3 linked regions of the Drosophila melanogaster genome follow. The protein of the gene in region 1 interacts with the protein of each later gene in a pairwise test. Each region holds a gene or a part of one and is shown in the gene's direction. Other genes may lie near its edges.

Region 1 (7,099 bases):
CAGTTCGAATTTTCATTATTGTAAATACGTTTACTACTGCTTTTACTATTTTACAACTATACGAATTTAAAAATATATACATATATCCTTAACTTTTCTATTCCCTTTTTAAGTGAATTCTTAAAAGTAATCTTTGGACTTAATTTAATATTCTAAACCATTCAAAGTGAATAATCCTTGGTATATTTATACAAGGTTATCCTGGACGCAAGTTGATACAATCGTTGCTATCATACAAAGTTATATATTCTCGATTCTGGATCATAATATTTTAAATAGACATTTTTACCTATTTATTTTCATCTACATAATTCCTTCTTGTTTCTCAGAAAAAAGCAAACTTTTCAAGGCTAAAATTTCCCATCGCTGAAAAGATCTACTCCTTAGAAAAATATATGGGAATCTATTTTCCCATCCACCATCCTGTTAATACAACATTATATAAGACAACCTTTAATTGTATCATTGGTGAAAGCACTTCCTGGTAGGATATTATTGCTCTTTTTAAGGTCATTCCCCTTGAAGGAATGAACAACACCTACCCTGGAGGACCCAATGCAATCGATTCTCTGCGTTCCAGAACAGATGAAAATTGATCAATATAATAAAAGGAAAACAATCAAACAATACGACAATCTTTCACTGTAATACTTCAACTGAACAAATAACCAACTCCCACTCCGCTCCTGCTTATTGACTTTGGGATTCCTCGAGGAGGGCTCGTCTCAAGCCCACCTGAAATAAATCCGCTTAGGCGGAGGAACACTGAAATGTGAGAACCATCTACCACATATACATTCGTTCCCTGACGGCATAAATCAATGGACAATGGACCATTGAATGAAACGGAAAAATCCGACATAATGCCAAAGACACGAAACCAGGGAGCAGAGGGAGGAGCATTCAGTAATTGCCGGTTTTCTAGGTTTGCTAGTATGTACATGTACCGGGAGATTCAGAAACTCCGAGACGGTTTTTCTTCAGCTGTCCAAGCTGAAAGTCATAAACGCTTGTTGTTCGAATCGAGATCGGGCATTGAAAACTGCAGCATGTCTGCTATTCAGGTGCCACAAAGAAAGCCGAAACAATAGCGGGTCGGCCGGCAGACAGCCTGGACGAATTGAGCGCCAGGATTAGAGATTACACAGGGATCCTCTACACAGAGATCCCTTTTTCGGGCCCGACAACAGGTAATTTCGTCGAAAATCGTCGGCCACGTAAACAGACGAGGCAAGGACAACAACTGGTTTATGACACCCTTTGAGAAGATTGCCAGCCTGCGGATTAGGAACTCCCTATTCCCAATTCAGGTAACAGCAGCCGATTAGTTTTGGTCCCATTTTTAGGGAATGAATGAAATGCGTTGGGGAAATACCTGATCCGTTTTACCGTGATCCCCAGGTACGTGATGGGAAAATCTTTGCCATTTGGCCATTCCGTTTTCGTGGGAGGCTCTGCAAGTTACCTAATGTTGCATAAAACGGATGGCCAGGAGGAGGGGCAGCACAGTCGTCTCGAAGACAGCAAAGCGAACACCACTACTCTTAATCAAGAATGGATAACTATAACCACAAGAAATTCACTGGAGCTCTGAAGCGAAAGCGCAGCATGGATGCGGACTCTGATGACGATGTGGTCTTCATTATGGAACAGCCGGGCCAACGCACTCCAGAGCAGCCGCAGCCTAAGCGTCGCTTCTTCCGACCCTGGATGGATGAGTCTCCGGAAGAGGAGCAACCACAGCCGCCACGTAAGATTGTGGCTACATCGACACCGCCGCCACAACAAGTGGATGGCACCTACCACGCTAACATGGTGCGCAATCACCACAAGCGCCGCCAGCGCAGTCCACAGGAGCAACTGCGTCGGGATCGCAACACCTTGGCCAGCCTGCGCCATCGACGCTCCCAGCAGCAACAGCAGCAGCTCATCGAACAACAATACCTGACCAGTCGCATTCAGCACGAGGCCAATCTGCAGCAGCAGATCCGCCTGAGTCTCTACTATGTGCGCTTCCTGCAGCAGGCGATGGCCTCCACGGAGCCACTGCCTCCCACACAGCCAAGGCACATGATGCCGCGCCAACAGACCACCACCCAGCATCCTTGAAGGGTGGACATGGTGCAACGACTGGGCGCTGCTCAATGCGCCCTAACTTATTGTAGAAAAGCTGAATAGTGATTGTGATTACTTTTAAAGTTTAATTTATTTATCTGGTTGACTAAACAATAAACACACTAATTGTTATCGAAATAACTTGTAATTTTTATAGAATTTTGTAATAATTGGTTTTTAGTTGGTTTCTGATTGATTGAAATCTAACTCGGGGTCTTATTTATTGAATCTTATTTGGAAGTCTGATATTTCTTTTCCGCCGTTTAACATCATGAGGATTTGTTCTAGACCAAAACTGACCGGAAGCATCAGCTCATAAGAGTTACCTCACTTGGTTTTTCTGCCATTATATAACATTAAATACATCTTATGTAATTAATTTCTTGGAAGCGCAATTTGCAATGCTAATTAAGGTGTGAAGTAATTCTAGTGATTCACATAGCCAGACTACAGTGAGAATTGAATCGATTCGGCACGAGTGACATATTGTGGGAAACACGGAATAAAATTGTAATTTATTTCAGTTGGATTTAATTATTTAATTTATAAACAAATCAGCATAGCGAACGAACAAAGTGCTTGCAAAATAATTAAAACACGGTGACAATAAGATCCGCCTTTATATTTAAATAATCATCAATGAAATCATCATATTGTTGTCCGCGATTAAAAATTGCGCAGATAAATAAATCTTAATATACTAAATTATTTACACGAATAGTGTTTTACTAATTCATTTATATATATGATATATGCCGTATACATGTTTGTACGAAGTTTATTTAACTCTTTAAATATTTTTAAAGGCGTGTTTTACTACCTAAACTAATAAATGGATTAAATATATTTAATTCACCTCTCAAGACTTCCATGAATGCAATTCCTTCTCCGTAAACTGAAATCGCATCTGTCAGCAGTCTTTAAAAATCCTTGACACTTTTTTCTAACCACCGACCAGGACATATAATGCCATGTCATTCTAGAGGAAAAGTGTTCGGCAAAGGACCCTCGAGAATTTCCAGGGAATTAAAACAAAGTGTGCTGAGGAACCAGGAGCCAAAGGGACCACACACGGTGCCACAACAAATTGTGTCATGCAGGTCAATAAAAAAATGCATCGCCTGCATAACAGTTGTTCGGTCCAGAACTTTCCTGTTCCGGTGGCCACATTTGTCCGATAATCCAGGTAATCCACACACCAAAAAAAGGATAATGAGGCAATCCTGCGACGACAATTAGCGCTGTGATAGAGCAGGTCATAAAATATGCTGCTTAATCCAGGACGGAGATTACCTAATGCGGAATGGATGCGCTAATCCCTTTGTTGACAGACCCAAAACAAAGGGATTTCCCTATGTGGCTACCTGTACCGCCTACCTACTGTGCTTATAACCAGGATATCAATCTCGAAGCCAATCATTCAGCAAGCGATCGTCCAACGAGTCACATCATCACCACAACTCATTCGGAGTCATATTATCGAAATACAAAAATGGAGAACTCATCGAGCTACACCCACAAGAAGTTTGCCGTCAGCAAGCGGAAACGGGAAGTGGACCATGACAAGGAGAACCAAACTCAGCAGTCGGAACAGCCGATCTTCAAGCGCCGTCAGACACAGGGATTCTTCCGACCTTGGTTGGATAATGAGCAGAACCAACAGGCGGAGAAGGAGACGTCAACGGCGGCGAAACCCAGTGGCCCAGGATCCTCGGTCAGCCAGTACCGTGCCAACATGGTGCGCCGCAGTAACACCAATCGTCAGCGAAGCCCCAAGGAGCAGATGCGCCGCGATAGAAACACGCTGGCTTGCCTACTCAGCCGGCGGGCCAAGCAGGCACAGGAGGAGCAAGTGGGTCAGCAGTACGAGCAGTATCGGAGTCATCATGCCGCCATGCTGGAACAGCAGGTGCGCCTCAGTCTATACTACCGCCACATCCTCCAACAGGCGGTGTTCCAGCGTGCCATAAATCCGGCACCGGGTCACATCCTGCCGCAGCAGCAACAACAGTTCCTCCAGCAGATGGCCCTCTCCCAGCAGATGCTCATCTTTGGTGGCCAGCACTGCTGACCGTCCAAAATCATATCATAATCAGCGACTATGGATAGCCCAATCATGTGATTTAGTTTATTAAGCCTTAATTATTAATATTTATTGTTGACTTTGAAATAAATCAAAAGTTATGCATTTAATTTAAATTGCCGGTTTTGTTAACTGGGGGTTATCACTTGGAAAATTCGAAATTTAATCTAAAATGATTGTTAAATTTGTTAGGAGGTCAGTGGATCGCAACCATTACATTTTTTTACATATGTATAATAATGCTATATATATTAGGATTTTAAACATCTTTAAGTTAACCCACCGGCTTGAAAAATAGTAAAATTATATAAAATGATTAAGAGATCAATTATCATTTCTAATTTAATTACAACCTAATCGTGATCATAATATATAAAATTTATGGTATAATTTTTAGCTCAATAAAACTAAAAGTACTGCTATCAAAAGTAGATTATCTATTATTTGATATGACTTTTGGTAAAAAAGGGCTCAATCAAGGGCTCAAAAACCACTTACTCCAGTGACTTGTCTGACCACTGGAGTAAGTGAGTCATCGAAGCATTGACAGATTTTTCCGAGAAACCATTTACCCAGAGTGCCATTACCCAGCAAAGTTCAACTAATTGTTGTCTAGCTAATTTTCATGGCGTTCTCATTTCGTGGCGGCTTTCGTCAAGGTTCAAACCCGCCACAAAGAACCACATTTTGGACTGGGCCAAGCTTTTTGGCATCGCCTTCAACGCGGTGGATTGTTGGCTAATGATATTGACAGAGATCGGATGTGGCGATATGGAGATATAGACAAAGTCCAAGCAAAGCTTCAAGTTCAATTGGCCAGTGAGACGGAGTTTTGCAAGCACACACAGCTCGAAGCGCAGAAATGCAATTTTCAATGTTAGGCCAGTTGGAAAAAAAGAAGAAAAAAGCCAAAAACAAAAAAACCAAATGCAGCCACAAAAAAAAAAACTCAACAATTAACTGAAATTGATGTTTGGCTGCATGGTACAAGTGCAAAGTGGTTTACTGGGTTGTTGGAGTTGCGACGGAAATTTGCGCCATAGGAAGTCGGACTGCCACAAGTACTATCAATGAAAATTAAAAGTAATTAACTGCTCGCGCACAGCGATTGCGCAATCGCCAAAAGAGTTAATTATGTTATGTGCAGGGGGCTTCCCCGGCAGCATGAATACTTCGACTAAATCATAGCTCCTATTTTTCACTCACAGCCCGATGCAGTTGGCTGCATATGAGGCGGGTGCACTCAGTGACGAACATCAGCCTATGTTTTTTCCATCGGATCACCCGAACTTCCTCATAGACCGTTGATTTTCTACATGGTTAGGCATTATGCAAGTTAGCTGGAGTGAAAGCAAAGTTAGGATTGCAATTGGCTTTTCTCTTGGTATGCATCGAAACCCTTTCTTTGTGACCTCATTCTATGAAATTAGTTAGAATTGGCCATTACAAATTGATTAATTAACAATTACACGAGTAAATATTTTAAGAAATTCTATGAATAAGCAAACCCTTGAAATTAATATCAGTTTTCAATTACTTTCAACTCAAGCTAGACAAATTTGCAACTAACAAGCTAACGTTATTTCGCTGAATTCATTCACACTTTTGGCCATGTTCCGGAATCAGTATGACAACGACACAACCACTTGGAGTCCGCAGGGTCGTCTCTTCCAGGTGGAGTACGCAATGGAGGCGGTGAAACAGGGAGCAGCCACCGTGGGACTCAAGGGCACCGACTATGCCGTGCTGGCCGCCCTGTGCCGCACCTCAAAGGACACGAACACGCTCCAGCGGAAGATCATGCCGGTGGATGACCACGTGGGTATGTCTATCGCAGGACTAACGGCAGATGCCCGCGTGGTGTGCCAGTACATGAGGACGGAGTGCATGGCATATCGGCACTCCTATAACGCAGAATTTCCGGTTCGCCGTTTGGTTTCCAATCTGGGTAACAAGCTGCAGACCACCACCCAGCGCTATGATCGTCGTCCCTACGGTGTGGGCTTGCTGGTGGCTGGATACGATGAGCAGGGACCACATATCTACCAGGTGATGCCCACGGCCAATGTGCTCAACTGCAAGGCAATGGCCATTGGATCTCGTTCGCAGAGTGCTCGCACATATCTGGAGCGAAATATGGAGAGTTTCGAGGACTGCGACATGGATGAACTGATATGTCATGCCATTCAGGCCATTCGAGGATCGTTGGGTTCCGATGATGTCGAGAATCTCACCATAAATGTGGCCATTGTGGGCAAGGATGTGCCGTTTAAAATGTTTACGGAAGCCGAGAACCAGAAGTATGTGAAATTGGTCAAGGCTATGGATCCACCTCTGGAGGCGGACCACGATCCTCTATCCGAGGAGGGAATGAGCGATGATGACATGACGGACCACGGACCGAGTAGCAGTGGAGTTCCACCCAATGATACATCTGACATGGAAACCACTGCATCCACCGGCGGCAGTGACGCACATTGATCTAATCTGTGATTAGAAACCCTGACAGAGTATACTAAATTTATTGTTTCGTTAATAATGTTATTAAAGTTTATAGTTATTATGTTGTATGGCTGCTTCGTTTTTGTCAAAGAAAAAAACAAGAAACGGTTAGCAAGGAAATTGAATTCTGAATTAGTTTTAATAGCATGTATAGCATATATATTCATCTTATGGAACCTAATCGGATTAAAATAATGGAAACACTATAGCACTTGCCATTCCTATTAATACGTTGAAATTTTCCACAGGGATTAGGGGTTATGCAAATGAAAGCCTTTAGCGTGACCAATTCGATTACAATGTATTTGAAAATATCGTAGCTACTAATAGCTAAAGTGTTTAGTTTAACTTTAAGTGCGACAATGACAGCTGAGCGATGGACGGGAATAGGAGTAGTTA
Region 2 (8,977 bases), 8.1 Mb from region 1:
CAAACAACTACCGTAGCTGTTTTATAGTGACTAAAAACCATCATTATAACAAACAAATTTAAAATTTAAAACTGTATAACACTTTTTTTAAACAAATCCTTTTCGTTCTTTAAAAAAAAACAAAAAACAATAGCTTCACAATTCAGATTTTTAGTTGATAAGGTCTCAGATAATAATATGTTGTAAGCAAATTGCATTTCATTTTGCAAAATTAATTCATTCTGATATTGCTTTGGCAATACTTTAATATTTTCTCTATGATTGCGCTGTCGTTTGCAGAAATGGGAGAAGTAACAGAAAGAGGGGTATAAAGGGTGGCAGAGGAGCGATTGAGGCAATGTGGGGCCAAAGTAACCTGAGCAGCGACGTCACGTCTCAACATGTGCCGCGATTATGGGACCGAAGCGGTCCAAGCTTTTTCGTTTGCTGGATTTTCGTTGGCCAGTTGAGCGTTATCACGCTCGAAACGCGTGAACAAGCGGGAAACAACATTTCATAAATCTTCAGGGCCCCGGTGTTCGGTTGTGGTCTCGAGTACGAGTCTTCAACTCACCTGTAGGCCAGATTCATGCACTTGAAGAGTTTGGTGAGCGAGGTCTCTATCTCCAGGTGGGAGGTCACCATGCTCATGCTGCTCTCGTCGCCCTCCTGGTCCATGGCGCTGAAGTGGGCCACTGTTTGGGGTACGTAAAGCTGCACGTCACGACATGTGTTGGTTGGCTCGCCCGGCTTGCCCAGACCGGGGTCCTCAGGGTCTAGCATCTTCACCTCGCCGTCATCCTCTAGGTCGTCCTGCGCCTCCTCTGCCTCGAAGTGCGAGACCATAAACTGGCCGGAGTGGATAGACTCCCGCTCCGCCTTGAGCAGGTCTGCCGTAGCCTCGGCGGACCCTGACGCCGAAGCACCTACTCCCGTTTCGTACTGCAATTGCTGGAAGTTTTGGCACAGAGACTGTTGCAGATAAGGCTGCTGGTGCAGCTGAGGCAGCTGGTGCTGCTGGTGGGGAAACATTTGGCTTGTGCGTTGGTATCCCTCGTGTTTATTCAGCATCATTTTCAACAGGTGCCAGGGGATGCCTATGCAAATAGTTTACTGTTGAGCCAAAATTTTGGCGGTTGCAGATTATGTCGATATGGCGAGGGCACATTTAATGGTTTTTTAATGTCTCTCGCGTAGTAAAGGCTTTTAAAAGCTGGTGCTGACCCTTTTTTAATTTGGATGGGGTTTTTCCATCATTTCAAAATATGTAAACGTTCGCAGACTATAAAAAAAAATATGTTTTGTCTTGCCTCGTGGTTAACACATTTATTAATTCTCTCATCTAGTGTTTGTCCTTGTCATTCTATTAACTAAATTACTAAAATAAGCGATTATTTGATAGAGACATAGCACGGTTTTAAGATTTTGATTTGTTTACAATGCCCGACACCTTCAGCTTTTCGTCATCGACACCTGTCCAATTGTTGCTTTTTCCGGAGCGAAGCTTCTCTAATGGCAAACACGCCCCGCTTTTGCCGTTATATGCGTCACACAGCACAATAACAACAATTTTCGCACACACACACACACACACAATCGCGGCGGGGTTGGCTGGGGATACGGACGTCAGAACGAGACGTCAGTGGCCGCTTGTAGCTCCTTGAACAGATAGTGAAGCCCCAACTACTCGTAAACACACGCGGATCTGATGGAAGGCCAACAAGGCGGGCAGAACCAGCGCAGAACGATCGGTTTCATTCCACAAACAGAACTGATCGGAGAACGAAGCTGCGAAACGCACATAACCTGTGCGCCGCACACAACACAACAATGAACAGCTGACGCGAAATCTCTCTCTCTCCCTACCTCGCTAGCGTTGCTTATCAGCTAGGAAAACGTACATACATATGTATATGTATGTATGTACGTGTTCTTCTATATGCGCAGATGTCAGGCAGCAATGTTGTCCCCCTCTCCACTATTACTATATGGAGCTCAGTCGATTTGACTCCTGGCATTCGGCCTTGCCATCCAGAGTATGCACTCCACAAGCAGTTCTGTGTTTGCACTTTTGACCTCTGGCTCAGCGCTGCCTTTGCATTTTGCCTTTTTCCGTTCCCACTCATATACACGCGCATGCACGCGCACCACAATTTCGGTACAACTGCAACTGCCCCCTATAGCAGAAACACGGGCAGTTAGCAGGCACGACGGACTACCAATACCACGCACACACGCGCAACACAAAGCTTCTACGTAGTTTAATCACAATATAGCACACATTAACCTATTGCGGGTAGCGAGCCCTCACCATCCCATCAGGGTTGTCAAGCATTTGGTGGCTCTGATAAACAGCACCCTCTTCCTAAAAATGGCTGAAAGCTGCGAGCCGAAAAACGCAAGAATGAGCATAATCACCCCAAACGTAAAGATTGGGAAGGGCAGCATACGAGGTCATATGTTTCCTGCTCCGAAATTGCAATACAATGAATTTAGGACGGCTATTTCCCGTAATTAGTTTCCAGTTTTATGGAATTGCTATTATATCTTTTTCCGACAGCACCTTGAAACCGCATCAATAAAAAGTTAATGCGTTGAGACTAATAGGAAAAACTAGAATATATACATATATTATACTCAAATGTAATGTGTTTTTTAAACATTGTTGTGCTTAAGTAATTAGGAAAAATTATGTAAAATGGATATTTTCCCTTTATGTTCACTATATTGTTTAAGTTAGAGAATAGAATACCCAGAATAAAATTAGTGATCACACATCAAAAAACTATCGATAAACATTGAATTAGTTCCGGTTAAAATTTAATAATAAGTATTCAAACTGCACACCTTGTTACAAAGTAGTGTAACTGCCTAATTCTTTATCAGCAGACTAGAGGATTTCGCACTCCCATGTTCTTTTGCTTAAATACCTTTCTCGGGCTTATATTAGACATTATACTTTCAGAGAATTTTTTCATTTGTACTGTTAGAAGGTTCTTAATGAAATTGCTGTTCAGTTCAAAATTTTTATATAGTCATTTAATAATACTTTACGAATGATTTTGTGCGCTTTAGATTTGTGAGAAAAAGGGGTGGGATTATTTAGTAGAAAGTAGCAAGGCATTTCCCGATCTGGTAACACTGATTCCAACACTCATTACCGTTCCAAATGAAACGCAAAAAGGTTCAATTGTTATTTTCTCTCACGATTTCGGCATTTATATTAACCTAAAGATGGCTCTATAGTTTGCGCGCAAGCAAAAACAAGCAGCACCTAGGTGCCCAAACACAACAAAATGGAAACGTATAAAAATCAAAAGTGAGTATACACCAAGCTAAATTCTCGCTAATTTCGCAATTTATCACGCACACTGCCGCACTTGGCGTTCTACTCATTCATTGTTGCTGCACGTGTGTTGGTGGCATTGCCTTGTATGGATTTTCAATTGACCGGGCGAACGTGGCAAATCAAAACTCAGTGGGGCATGCCACCTGGTAAAGGTAAAGAAATTGGCTGACGCAATCGCCGACTGGAGTTGAGTAATGTGCGTTGCAAGTCGCCTGCACGTGCGAAAATGAGATGACTCACCACAGTAAGGACTACCCCAAGCGGACACAGCCCAGGACAGAGCTGTTTAAACCGGCTGCGCGATTGCAGCTCTACCCTTGCATTCTATATTTACCTAAAATGTTAAAACATAATTACTATATTACTAAGCTAGAGGGGAGAAAGAAGTTTTCAAAAAGAAAATTAAAATCAAAATTTGCGTGCTTAATCTCAACTTTTTTGGTGGTGGACACGGCAATATTGACTCTTGGTAATAAAATGTTAAAAATACATTTATCTTTCATAGTTTTCAATGAATGTAGTCTACCCTTAGATTAATTTGAATATAAGAGGTACAGTAAAATGATTAAAAGTGTTTTTAAAAGGGTAGCGACTATTCATTATCACTATGACTCGTGATAAGTCATTAAACAGCTGTGGGCTGAACAGCGAACCAATTAATCATAATTAATTCGTTTCTTTAATTCTCAGCGCCATCATGGCATTTTCACAACAACAAAACACACCGCGAAAACAACCATTCTCATTCTTCGGACCGGATTTCATACTCTCAAAACAAAACATATCTTTGACCCCTGATTTGAACTCTGGATATGGACGCGACATTTCACCAAACCATGGAGAGCTTGCAGTTGCCCAAGGAGCTGTACTGGGACCTCAAGATGGAGCCACAATCCCCAACATCGGTTTTGGGCTCCGATCTGTTTCCGCTCACTGACTCAAACGATACGGAGTGGCTGTATGACGATAACTTTGCAAATGGTTTGTGGTGCCTAAAAGTTTTTTTGAAAGGATTTTTAAGGATTTTAATTTAAGGCATTACTCTTATTGGCGATGATGAAGCCTTGACCCTGGAAGAGGTAGCTTCTCTCCAGTTGCTTAGTGATGAGGAGATGGTTGTGGAGATCTTTGACCTGAAAGATGAAGGTAGGTATATTTTAGTGTGCTTACTTTTTTGTACATAATAATAATGTAAAATAATAAATGTTCTTGTAACTGTAGCTGAGCGCAAAATGTAGATAAACCCATTTGCGAGGAGGTCTTAAACCCATAAGAACGACCTCTTAGAGTTCTTATTAAAGCACCCAAATGTTTGCTAGTCTTACATTTTTCAAAGTCCAAAATAACTTTATTTATAACTTGAAGCTCATAATATTAAAGCAAAGACCGTTACTATGATTACTATGATAAGATAATTGGTAGTTATGCCTGATACTCGTAGATCAATGGGAAACTAGGCTCATTGAAATCTAATAAATAAAAGTAAGCTTTTCCGACTCTATTCAATTACTAGCCGAGTCGATTTGGCCATGTCCGAGTGATAATCAAAATCTCAGGAACAACAAGAGCTAGAAAGTTGATATTAAGCAAGCATACTCACGACCAATTATTTGAAAAAGGGATTACATTTCTATTGATATTCCAAAAATATTTGAGAACCTTAAATTGTCCGGATCTTTATATTAGAAGTTTTTAATAAATTGAGTTTTCAATTAGATACAAATATCTTAAATAAATACACCTATGGCAAATCAGTAAAAATGAAATATTTAGATATTTGCAGGAGCTTTGAACGTCTGCAAAATTCCCGCAAAAAAGATCTTTATATAAATATTAAAACTCAACTTTTGTTGTATAGAGCTCTTTCTTAATAATTAGTGTAGATCAAGTGGATTTCATTGTCTGAGTCATTAGGGTCTCGCACATCGCATTTGAACCTAAAATTCCGACAGGTAAAGTTGAGGAACCGGTTTCAAGTTTGCTTTGTTTTCGTTAGCGTATGTTTCTGGTATTTTGGCCCTCTTTAGCTTGAGCATGAGCGTGTTTTTGTATTATGGTTTTCACCGTGCATTTTATTATTGTTTATCAACGGAGCGCCAAGCAAGCGCTGTAATGGCCAATTTCCAGGCCACAACAAAGACTCAGATCAAGCGAGAGCAATGAAATCAGTTTTTGATCGGTTTTTTGCGTACTTGATCACGCGTTAAGCGAGTGATCGGCTGGACTCTCTCTTCTCTCTGTAGCAATCTCTCTCGACTCATTGCTGACGTTCGGGTAATACATTAAGAATTCAATAGATAACAGCTGGGTTGTATGATTTTAAAGGTAGGAACTCGATCCATTCTCTGGTGGTTATGACTCTGCCCCTTTTGAAAGCTTAATCTTATAGTGTATGTTTTGTTAGTGAAATATATTAAGTATCTGCGATCAATGAACCATTTGACATTATGACCATCATAATTTTGGTATGTATTTTTCGGTCGATCAGGAAGCTTCTTTGTTTGAAATGTAAATTTTTACGGATGACGTGCCCCCTGTTTTGAGACTGTCACTAAGGCTCATTCAGGTAGATTTTTATAAATACCTTTTAAATAAAAGGAGATGAAGTTATATTGGTTATTTCAAGATGCTGGGAGATTACTACTATTAACATCTCAAGCATGTATATTGTACATATATGCATATACGAACGATTCTGCTAATACTTTAATAATTTTAGTATATCATTGTACATAGTTTGTGTAATGCATATGGAAAGTGGAGTTTCAATTTTACTGAATTTTTCTCAGTAATATAATCTTTATTCCAACTAAAATTGAGAGCAACCTGCACAGAGACTTGATTGTTGTCAAGGGTGGAAAGTTACTGACTGGTCAGGTGCACACTGCAAGCTGTTGATAATACTGTATAGAAAACCTGTGTAATTTAGAAATGCAATTTTTGAAGAACTAAAAGGGCTGAGCAATGCTGTGGTAAAATATTGATTTTGACATAAAGTAAACGAAAGTTAAACGGAAAAATATTCAGAAACCAGATTCCAAATTCCCAGCTATTTTCATTTTTGTTCAGCTACAGATCAATAAAACAAAACACCTAAATTTGCACCACTGTGCAGAGTCCGTTGGCGCAGATTGTGACTGTCCGCTTGTCTCAGCTGATAGCATCTCGGGCTCGAAATAAACCAACAGATTGATCTTAATGCAGGGCGCTCTCTGAGCTTCGCTGCCTTCCCCAGTGGTGCTCGCTCGCTCTTGCCCGCTAGTTAGCCGAGCAAAAACCATGCGCGGTTTCCAGTCGGTACTCAGTACAATTCGCTACTCAGACGCGAGCGCTCGAATTGAATCTCGGCTTTAACTTTGATTGCCGCCCCGCATTTCACACGTCTTGAACATATACGTCTTTACTCACCAACACAAAGAAAACGGCTTAAAATAAAACAATACAATAACAAATAAGAAGAGAGGCAGTAACCACACAAGCACAGGTCTTCGCGTTTTATAAACGCTAAAAAGCCAATCGAAAATAAAAATATTATTAAAAATGTGTTAAATAATTTATATGAAGGAAATCTGGTGTATCATTTAAAATAAAGTGCAGAATCTTTGCATTGAGCATTAAAGCGGATACCGCTTTCCCACTTTGTGAAGTTGGCTGGCAGCGAAGGCCATTCGCACCTCTAACTTAAGCCACAGGGGAAAACAAAACGGCTAGATTCCACTTGAGGTGATCATCGATTGGAAACTATATGTAGCCGAACCTCGGAAAATCTGCAGATTCACGGGACAATCGCGACCACCTGAAAGTTCGAGTGCGGGCTCCAAGGACTTTGTTAGCATGATACCACACTGTGGATACCGTTACATGTGGAACCGTGAAATTGTGATAAACTCGCAAAAGTTGGTTAAACGACGCTAAGCAGGAACTTCAGATTTTCAACCACGCCGACCACTTTGCGGCAGCAGTTGAATCCTACGGACAGAAATCCAGCAACCGAAGGACAGACGCACAATAAAAACCAATCACTCAAATCCCTTCATGCAATTTAAAACTTTTAATACTTTTCATATACGTTTTACCACGTTTTTACCGTTTTTACCACGTACCGTTTTTGTTTTTTATTTAATAAGAAAATGTGGTGAACTTATACCAGCCTAACCTACCCATTTTCCAGCTTTTTATTTGTACTTTCTAATTTGATTCTGTGATTTCTTACTTTCATTTGGAAATTTGATTATACATTACTGCTAATATTTTTTCTATCTTCATAATATAAGGAATTCTCCTTTTAAATAGCTATTGTTTAAAACTCGATTATTGTTAGGTTTAGGTAAGTCTACTCATTTGGGGGTATATATATACCATTTACCGTCTTAATTTTTTTTTTTAATAAAAACTTGTGGGTTAACACTTAATATTCGACAAAACGATTCACTGCTGCCGCAAAAATGAGCACCTATATATTTATGCAAGCATATGGTAAGTTACAGGTTGCTATGTTATAAGTAATTGCAAGACATAAAATTAACATTGAGTTAGCTAATCAAGTCTGCCAGCTTGTTACGTTTGTTTTGGGTCATTCCGGTGTTTCTTTATACTTCCTCGAAATTCCTTTATGTTATTATTGTGTATAAATACTAACTAAATTCAATATTTTTTAAAATTCGTTTGCATATAGTGACTGGAATTGGGTAGCAAGTTATTATTGATATTTTGTTAGCCATTGGCTGTAGCTGTAGCAGTATATCAGATTGTGGAACACGTTCATAAAGTTTAGGTTAATGCAAGTTCTAAGCCCGTATGACATTACAACTCGTAAAACATCGATCTACAATAAACGTTTTACATAAACTTTCGTGGTTTCATCTCCTACAATGTTTTTCTAGGCTAAACAGCCCGAGTGCACACTTATTTGCACTCGCCTATAGAGTAAGTCTAGCTTCAAGGTTTTCGCTAATCATGCTCTCATTTAATATAAATATGTATGTATGATTATATTTATTTCCCGTATGATTGTGTTGTTGTCCCTGTCGTTTTATTCGATAATGCAAATGGCAACATTGTTTTCTTTATATTTATAAAGCTTTTTAGTTTTTTTTTTTTTGGAAATGAAGGAAAACTAAATAATTTATTTATTTAACTTAACTTAAAATCTAATTATAGATAATATATAATGTAAATGCTTTCCAAAGTTTTTTTCCTCCCTTTTATATATGAACAAGTAAAATTTAAAGCAAATGGCAACATTTTTTCTTCATATATATAAAGAAAGAATACTTAATATATAATTTATTTCACATGGATTCAAAAATTAACATCTTATTATAGATAATATAATATTATATATAATATAATAGAATGTAAATGTTTTCAAACGATTTTTTCGTCCCTTTTTTATATAAATAAGTAAAATTTAAAGCTAAGCATTTATTAACTTGCAGTTTAGAGTGTATATTATAATAGAGTTTATAATATTTATATATGTAATTACTGAAATATATAAACTTTTATATATTATAACGATGTTATAAAAAGAGAGAGAAGAATCAAGTTAATCTGCTCATTTCTTTCTTAAAATTCATTAAAGCTATGAAATGAAATATTTACACTTCCTTGCTATTATTGCAATACACAATATAGTGTTTTATATAA
Region 3 (9,056 bases), on another chromosome or scaffold:
CATCTCAAATCTTTCTAGCTTTTAGAGTTCCGGGGCACTCTCTTATACGGACGGACAGACGAACATGGCCATAGCGACTCGTATAGTGATTCTGATAAGGAATACGTATACTTTATAGCTTTTGATTCGCTTTCTACCAAAGACCCTAGAATAACAAGATGCGTAACGCCATACGATTTTTTGGCACACGATTTTTTGGCCGTGGCTCTAGAGGTGGCTCCAGGCTCTCTCGAATTTTTGTTAGAGAGCGAGAGAGCGAAGAGCGCTACAGCGAACAGCTCTTTTCAACGCACAAAGTGATAGCAGACAACTGTATGTGTGCACACGTATGCTCATGCATTGTAAATTTGACAAAATATGCCCTTCACCTTAGAAGTGATCAGCGAAGACTCTTGCTCTGTCCGTGTCACTGCGAGACCAGTTTCCGGAAGAGTTACGGAGAGGTACAACCGTGTCTGTTGGTGCCTTTAGGTTCCTGTGGTCTTTCCACAACGAGTTTTTTGTTCCTGTGGGCGTGAGATTCTCGATGTACCTTAGTAGTGCGTCCGCTTTTGCGAGAATCTGCTTCTAATTATTCTTTGCGCCACGTGATCTGTGCTACTGCCACTCCCTTCGAAGTCCTCGTTTTTCAAGCACAAGCATTTCAATATTCATTCAACTTGTCTTGTTAAACTTTATCCTGCTTACATGGTTGTCTTGTGGAGTTAACGCTTTTACTGCTGCGAAAAGTATTGATTCTATATCACCAGCAAACTGATCAATGTCTTGCTCGGTTGCCAGGGGTTAAAAAAGCCGGTATGGGAACAACATATTTTTTGTACCTCGCCCAGTTGGTCCTATTGCTTGTAAGCCTACACGGTCGCTCCAAAGACACTAGAATAACAAGATGCGTAACGCCATACGATTTTTTGGCACACAATTTTTTGGCCGTGGCTCTAGAGGTGGCTCCAGGCTCTCTCGAATTTTTGTTAGAGAGCGAGAGAGCGAAGAGCGCTACAGCGAACCGCTCTTTTCTACGCATACAGTGATAGCAGACAACTTTATGTGTGCACACGTATGCTCATGCATTGTAAATTTGACAAAATATGCCCTTCACCTCAGAAGTTCTTAGACTTTAAATCTATATTATTTTTGATCAATTGGCACCATGCGAAAAATTCTTGTTTTGCATTGCCTTAACGTTATTATTATTTCAAAATAGATTAGAAATAGCCAAATCTATGTACATATTATCACAAAAATAAATTTTTATTTTTATTTTTAGAGTATTCATCTTGCGGCGTGTGAAAAATTAATAAGGCAATGATTGTTGAGTGCTTGTGTCCGCACTTCGTGCCTCAAGATATGAACAAAGCAAAGACACTAGAATAATTCTAGTTTCTTTGATATTACTTTTGCAATAAACAGTTATCATATTTAATTATTTAGTATATTTATTAAATCATTTGACTTAATATGATGTAACATTAACATTAAAAGTGTTTCAAAAAAAATATTTCGCTTTTAAAAAATTGTCAGATGAGAGACAAATTAGAATTAAACATAAATATAAATGTGTAAACGGTAGCTAATTCGAGCGGCGATTTTAACAAACAAATTTAAAAAGCTTTAAAATTATAATAGTCAGGGCGCGAATTTTTAAAAATTTTTTTATTTTATCATATTGCTAGGAAATTGGCAAAAACTACCCTAATATGTACCATGTAAATTCGTTTCTTCGATCAGAATTGATTTCGGCCCGAAAATCGTCTTCTAGCACAACACGCACACTTATACGCGTTCTCGTCTCTTGTTTTTACTCACACAAGCAAGCAAATTATATTTTTAGATTTCTTACGCTCTAAGCGGGAGTGAGCGGAAAGAGAGTAATTTTGGCCGTCACCAAAAAAGTGGCTGCATAGTGCCAAACCAATGTATGGCCGTTACGCATCTTGTTATTCTAGTGTCTTTGCTTTCTACCTCTTATAGTACATACATGCCTATGAATCTAGTATACCATTGCACTATGGGTAAAAAACCGGAAATTTTTGTATTAATGTAATATTTTTGTGATTGATATTTTAATGCTCCTTTCATTTTTTGATTTCTAAGTAACAAGATAGCATAAAAAAAATGTTTTAAACCTTTTTACGAGTTATCGTTTATTTTTGGCGCACTTTCAAAGTCAGCTGATTCAGAGGTGCTTTGAATTGCGAAAATGGTCGGAAAAAGTTGAACAAATGTGCAGCGTAAACATTGTCTTCATAGCAAATTTGGAGTTTATTTTTAATAATGGAAAAATGGAGCAACAACAAACGCGATGCAGACGCTATTAACAGTTATATTGTGGAAAATATACAAGAGAACTTTGAGACTAAAGAGCAAAAGATTACCAAATAAGCAGGCTGCAGAATAAGGGCATTCAACTCCACTTCTCGTACATGCTGCTTCATTTTCCGGAAAACAACGAAGCAGGCAGAAACGGCCTTTATATTGAAAAAAAGGGAATTGAAAACATACATAATATAAAAAAGAAAATTGAGACAAATCATTCTATTAAAATAAGTGCTGAAAACGCTTTAGCTTTCCCAATTGAACATGGATTTACAAAGTAGCAATATAATAATATAAAACCGCTCAATAAGCATAAAGGATGCGATATTTTCCATCCTTATTCAAAAGTAGCAGAAGCAAGGATGGATAACAAATATAAAAAAATTTTGACTTTTATTTCATAAAATTGGTTTTTGTATCTTGTGTCTTCACTTCGCTCCCACGCCAATCCTTCGCCCACCATCCATCTCCCTTGAAACCCGCTTTCATATGTATATAAATACATTTTTCACTTTATATTCAAGGATTTTTTTGGTGGGCGGAGATGAAGGCGTGGTCAGATCAAAAAATAAACAAAATCCGAAATTCTATTTAAATCTTAATTATAAACATAAAAAAAATCAAGTCGCTATCTTTATAATTGTAATTAATACCAAAATTCCCGGCTTTTTACCCATAGTGCATTGTACTCTACAACTAGTGGATATAAAGCTAAGAAGGTAAAATCCGTCCTCAGTAGATGGTGATTAATAGTTTTTTGTGATAGTTTTGAAACTACTTTTTTATATCGATATTTCTTAGGAAGTCTCAACCGCTCCGACGGATGTGAAAAGTACACTTACTATATAAGCCTAAAATGTGAAATTACTATTATAGTATATATTGATAATTAATATTTTAATGTGCCAAAACGTCGTGTATTTGCTGACGTTTGCTGTGGTAATCAATTCTGGTTCAGTAAACATATTCAATTCGAATTCTATGGCCGATTAGCTATGGACATCAATGAATATAATTTATACAGTAAGTTTCCTTCTCGTCAGTGACAAGCAAAGCAAGTTGAAAAAGTCTTGCCCTAATATCTATTATCAAATTCATCATATGTATGAATATGTGTAAAATGTGAAATGAGTGGCTGGCACCCTAATTTTTTCTGCTTTAGAATCAGCGAAATGGAATAAAAAATAAAATGTATATTAATGTATGTATTAAAAGAAATCGATTGAACAAAGGTTAAGAGAAAAACATAAAAGGGAAGTACGACATACGATATTTGAATAATAAACAACAATATATAAAATTAAAAGATTTCTTAATAATTAAAAATTCGCGTCCTTATCATTACTGTCTATCAATAAATCTTATAATTTGCTGACGCATTGCCATACGTAAAGTGATAGCTTATTTCGTGCAGTTTAAACAGGACAACCTTACAAAAACTTTGTCCCTTTCTTTGATAAGTTGATAATACCATATGTATCTTGCAACAGTGTAATTTTTTTCGATTCCTGCGTAAGTTACTCTTGTATTCTCAAATTTTTGCTATCGGAATGTTTAGTAAACAGTTAACAGCTGTTTAAGCTGTTTTTCAGACAATAGAGCGGCCCATTCGACAGTTTTAATTATTCACTGCAATTAAGTTATTAAATTAAATAGGATTTTTTTCGAACAACACTTTTAGTCATCCTTTTTAATTTATTAATGAATTATTTTATATTTTATAAGTATTTTTATTGCCTGTTTCGTTTCACCAACAGCCTTTGCGATAAATTTTGTCGACGTATGTATAATAAACAATTATAATAATACAACGTCGCCGCAGGAGTTTTGAAAGTATTTCATATTTTTTTAGTCTTGTAAGTTTACAATGGTTTGATATTTTAAATTTTTTCATTTAATTTTTTCCTGACAAAGTTAGCTAATTACAATAACAATGATATAAATAACAATTAAATAAAAATGATATAAGTAACATTTAACTACATAACAATTATGAGATCATCATCTCCTGGCTCTCGTCAAGGGTGACCTGTGGAGCCTTCTGGGTGGGCGACCTTTGTTTAGTGCCTTGGCTAGGATATTTCTATACCGCTCTAACGTGTCGTGGTACCGGCTAGAGTGCATGTTTATTGTCTCGAAGACAGTGGCTAGTTTGAGCTCTTTGTTGTTGTGTTCCTTACGAACCAATCGCAGCCGGTAATCATCCTGGCGATTCTGCTTTGGGGAGCCTGAATACGACGGATTTGGCTGTCGCAGGCCAAGCCCCAGATTTGATAGCTGTACCTCCATATTGGAGCTATAATTTGCTTGTAAATTATCACCTTGTTGGATAGTGACAATTTACTTCGCGAATTTATAAGCCAAAAATGGTGCACGCATACGCATGCTTCGAGAAGGTGAGTCTCCTATCCAGGATTTTTTTTTTAAAATTAATTTATTTATCAAGGCATACGGGGAAATCTTGGAGCCCCTTTGTGTCCTTCTTTTCTATTAATTCAGCCCATTTGGGCGCGTCGGCTAACTATAGTTAGCTTTTTCAAGTCTACAGTAATTTTACTACAATTACATAACAATCACATATAACAAATAGGATTTAAGATAAGCGTCAGCTTCTGCTGACCCTTGTCAAAGGAGATCGGGAAATGAGATCCTCGGTTACCTTCTATTGAGCTTCCTTGGTGGGCGAGGTCTGCTTAGAGCGCTAGCCAGCCGATTTCTGTGGCGCCCCAAGCTGTCATGGTATCTACTCGAGTGCTGCTTTATCTCGTCAAATACCGTTGCGACTTTCAGATCTCTGTGCAGGGTGTTGTTTCGCACAAACCACTCGCAGCCGGTGATGAGTCTTGCGACCTTATTTTGGATAGCCTGGATCCTTTTGATTTGGCTGTCGCATACCAAGCCCCAGATTTGCCACCAATACTTCCAGTTTGGTGCTAAGATCTGTTTGTAAATTGTCAGCTTGTTGGATAGCGACAATTTACTGCGCGAACAAAGTAGCCAATAGTGCTTCGCCACCTTAGCACGTAGGCGCGTTCCGATGCCGGTCACATGCTTGGCATATGTGAGTCTGCAATCCAGAAGCACTCCAAGGTACTTTGCTGCGTTCGGCTGTGGTACGGGGGCTTCCTCGATGTAGACGGGCGGTGGCGTTCTCCGTTAAAGTATAGCAGACGTTGTTGGATTTACTGCTATTGATGCCAATGTTCCAACGTCTTGCCCATTCCGAGAACCGGTCTGCAAAGTCCTGGATACCATCGGCTGCGTCGTGCTCGCATCGGGACCTGTAGGTGACGCACACGTCATCACGCCAACATTGATTTTCCGTAAAGGCTTACATCCGGCTGCGGCATGTCGTGGCTATACAGGCAGTAGAGCAGGGGGCCGAGGACACTACCTTGTGGAACACCAGCTGCCACTTTGTGCTCGGTGGAAATTGCTTAATGAAAGCGCACAGCGAACCTCCTTCCTTCCAGGTACGACTTTAGCAATCCCAAATATGGAGCAGGCAGCGTCTGCTTGATTTTTAGTTGAAGTCCAATATGCCACACTCGATCAAACGCTTCTCGAATGAAGAGGCTGTTACAATATTCCTTACTGTCGTAGGCAGTCAGAATTTTCTCGACGACCCGAGGGAGCTGCTCGACAGTACAGTGGCCAGCACGAAAACCGAACTGGTGCTCAGGGGTAATCCCCCGGGCTTCCATAATCCTTACAATCCGGACAGCAATCAGTCTCTCAAACACCTTAGAAATTGAAGGGAGGAGACTGATCAGCCGGTAGGAGGCGGGCTCCCTTTCCGGCTTGCCAGGCTTGTGGCTTGTGAGCACACATTCGCTGATTTGTCACCATTGATACCATGTTCCAGCGCCTTGCCCATTTCGCAAATGTTGATGCAAAGTCCTGGATGCCATCAGGAGCATCTTGTTCGAAGCAGGACCTGTAGGTGACACACACGTCATCTGCAAATGTTTCCATCATTGACGTCCCGGGTAGGCTGGCGTCTGACAGCGGCATGTCATAGCTGTACAAACAGTAAAGCAGAGTCCCAAGTACATTTTCCTGTTGTACTCCGGCTGCCACATCATGCTTATTTGAGAGAGACGAATGAAATCGAACTGCAAACCTTCTCTTTTCGAGTTTTATTTCTCCTGGCCGATTTCTACCGATATACAAAAAACAATTTGCCCATGCCTCAACACTGTCATGCCCACAGTTTTTTACTATTTGTTATTTTGTAATTTAGTTGAGTAACGGGTACATGATAGTCGGGATACCCGACTATAGCATTTTCTTATATTCCTGTAATATTTTTAAGATTAATAATATTTTATTCTTTAAGACAAATGACGCCATGTTTATTTTCAGACGATTTATCGCTGTTGGGAGAAGTGACTGAAAATAACTACGACAATAATATTGTACACGACATTCTGAACTCATCAGCATTCTACAATGATACATCGTTAGATCTAAGTGAATTAATACCTGATCTTCAAAAAGAAGCCTTTGGATTGCATTTCTCGTCAAACCCAATAACTTCAGAATTTAGCTTGAGTTCCCCGATTTCTGGTTTGAAACAAATTCCTTCAGCGTGTTCTGGTGAATTTAAAAGAAATGTAAATGACAATAATTTTCAATTGGATCTTACCAACAGTAGAAATGATTTACCTGAGCCTAATTCGTCTCCCACAAGAAGCTTAAATCGTTCAAATGTAAATGGATGTTCTAACGAAGAGGCGGTCTATCCACTCTTAGTCGATTCAGATAAGTTTGATCCATTTTTTGAACCTGCTAAAGTTCGGAGCCCCAACAAAGAATTCAACAGCACGATTTCTAATCTATCAGATATAAAAAACGAACTTCCGGAAACTTCCCAAGACTTGGGTTTTAATTCATATAACACTTCAAGGAATAATTCAACTTTAACCAAAAGCTGGCCAATAAATACTGAGCTGAATCTAGATAATCAAGTTCCAAAAACAGTTTTACCTTTGTCAAGGACAATTTATTTACCTTCACATGATTACAAAGGGCTTTTGCCAACAGTGAAATGTAACGGTGATAGAACCTTAAAGAAAAATGTTAATGTCAGGTCTAAGATTTCTAATATCGTTATTAAGAAAAAAAATGCAACTTTTATACAATCATTGAAAGAAAGCACTCCATCACATACAATGGATGATAAGATCTACAAAAAATATCAACGTATGATTAAGAACCGAGAGTCTGCTTCCTTATCACGCAAAAAAAGAAAGGAGTATGTTGTTTCATTAGAGACTCGAATAAATAAACTTGAAAAAGAATGCGATTCCCTAAAAGCTGTAAGTACTCTCTTTCAGTTTAAATAATAAACTTACCTATTTTTACTTGTCATTCGAAAGCAAATTTGGTAATTTAATCTCATTCCTTCTTAACATAATAAGTAGGTTACTTATTCTTAATTAGCCTTCCAATTTTCATATGATCTCAACATGTCTGAGAAAACGCACCAGTAAGTAAGGTATATTATATGTATTACTTTATTCCGGGATAAGCCACAAACAGCCGATTTTCGCTAACCTCAATACGAAATGGTTATTTATTTAAAAATTATGTAACACACTAAGAAGGAATGGACAACCCTATTGTTGCAATACGTCAAAAAAAAACACTATCGTAAAGTTTGACATGTTTTAGGTAATACGTACTCAGAACTTTTTGTTATACGAGCGTTATTTGTGTTGTTTACAGTTAGTTCAGAAATTCCTCTCACCCCAAAACGTGGATAAATTCACCAACAGCTCAGATCAATGGTTAATTGCTCAATAGAAGGCTCGTGTCGGTTGGTCGCAAAAAATAAGCGAAATACGCAATAAATGCGATCGCGGTGCTTCGAGTCACGTCTATGAGATCGTGACAGGATTTGGATCTATATTTGGATTTGATGTGGATTTACAGTAACTTCTGAGTGGTACACAATCATTTGTTGTCAGTTATCTTTCAAAAAATTAGAAAAAACAACAGCTGAAGACCGATCACTATTTATCAAGACAATGCGAGCTCTCGCACATCGGCTTAAACATCTGCACCTGCAAACAGCGACGGCATTCGCCGTGTAGTCCTGACTTGTCGACTTCTTTTTATTCCCGTTCGGCAAAAAAAAAAATGAGAGGTCAACGTTTTTCGACAATTTTTATACCCGTTACTCGTACAGTTAAAGGAGTATACTAGATTCGTTGAAAAGTATGTATGTAACAGGTAGAAAGAAGCTTTTCCGACCATATAAAGTATATACATTCTTGATTAGGATCAACAGCAGAGTCGATCTGGCCATGTCCGTCTGTCTGTATGAACGTCGAGATCTCAGGAACTATAAAAGCTAGAAAGTTGAGATTCAGCATACAGATTCTTTAAACAAAGACTCAGCGCACAAAACTTGTAATGCCGTCGGCGGCAAAACTGCTGGATTAAATTCATTTCACACACAATTTATACAAATTGAATTCTAAAGAGGAAGTCTTAATGAATCTCCTTAACGATAGAAACTTTCAGTCATTCAGTCAATTCCTACAACTCCCGCACAAGCAACTGGGCCCTGTTTACATCTGCTCTTAGACCGCTCGGTGATCCTCCGGAACTCGCATTGATACCATTTCAGTATCCTGAGCTACAGCAACGGCTCCTGATGGTGGGGTTGCCTCTACTTTACTAGTGCTGTTTCAAAAGTCATTTAACCTCTTAGTTAGCAACTCCGCAAGCCGAAG

Evidence for each region. The genes of interacting proteins can lie anywhere in the genome.
Region 2: the proteins of CG16815 (region 1) and crc come close enough for resonance energy transfer, tested with the Drosophila melanogaster proteins (one study listed by BioGRID).
Region 3: the proteins of CG16815 (region 1) and Atf6 come close enough for resonance energy transfer, tested with the Drosophila melanogaster proteins (one study listed by BioGRID).

The regions. Positions count from the first base shown.
Region 1 is NT_033779.5:13,226,299-13,233,397, forward strand, and holds CG16815 (uncharacterized protein), read left to right. Parts: upstream 1-3,533; 5' UTR 3,534-3,607; coding exon 3,608-4,186; 3' UTR 4,187-4,251; downstream 4,252-7,099. Other genes in the region: CG16813 (uncharacterized protein), read left to right, coding at 1,555-2,109; Prosalpha6T (proteasome alpha6 subunit, Testis-specific), read left to right, coding at 5,810-6,679.
Region 2 is NT_033779.5:21,307,735-21,316,711, forward strand, and holds the start of crc (cryptocephal), read left to right. Parts: upstream 1-3,131; 5' UTR 3,132-3,298; intron 3,299-3,458; exon of another isoform or gene 3,459-3,797; intron 3,798-4,018; 5' UTR 4,019-4,140; coding exon 4,141-4,309; intron 4,310-4,363; coding exon 4,364-4,474; intron 4,475-6,625; exon of another isoform or gene 6,626-7,162; coding exon of another isoform or gene 7,163-7,243; exon of another isoform or gene 7,244-7,773; coding exon of another isoform or gene 7,774-7,804; intron 7,805-8,977. Other genes in the region: mondo, read right to left, coding at 554-1,053; CG46314 (uncharacterized protein), read left to right, coding at 7,163-7,243.
Region 3 is NT_033778.4:5,141,523-5,150,578, forward strand, and holds the start of Atf6 (Atf6), read left to right. Parts: upstream 1-3,210; 5' UTR 3,211-3,308; coding exon 3,309-3,336; intron 3,337-5,643; exon of another isoform or gene 5,644-6,656; coding exon of another isoform or gene 6,657-6,678; coding exon 6,679-7,634; intron 7,635-9,056.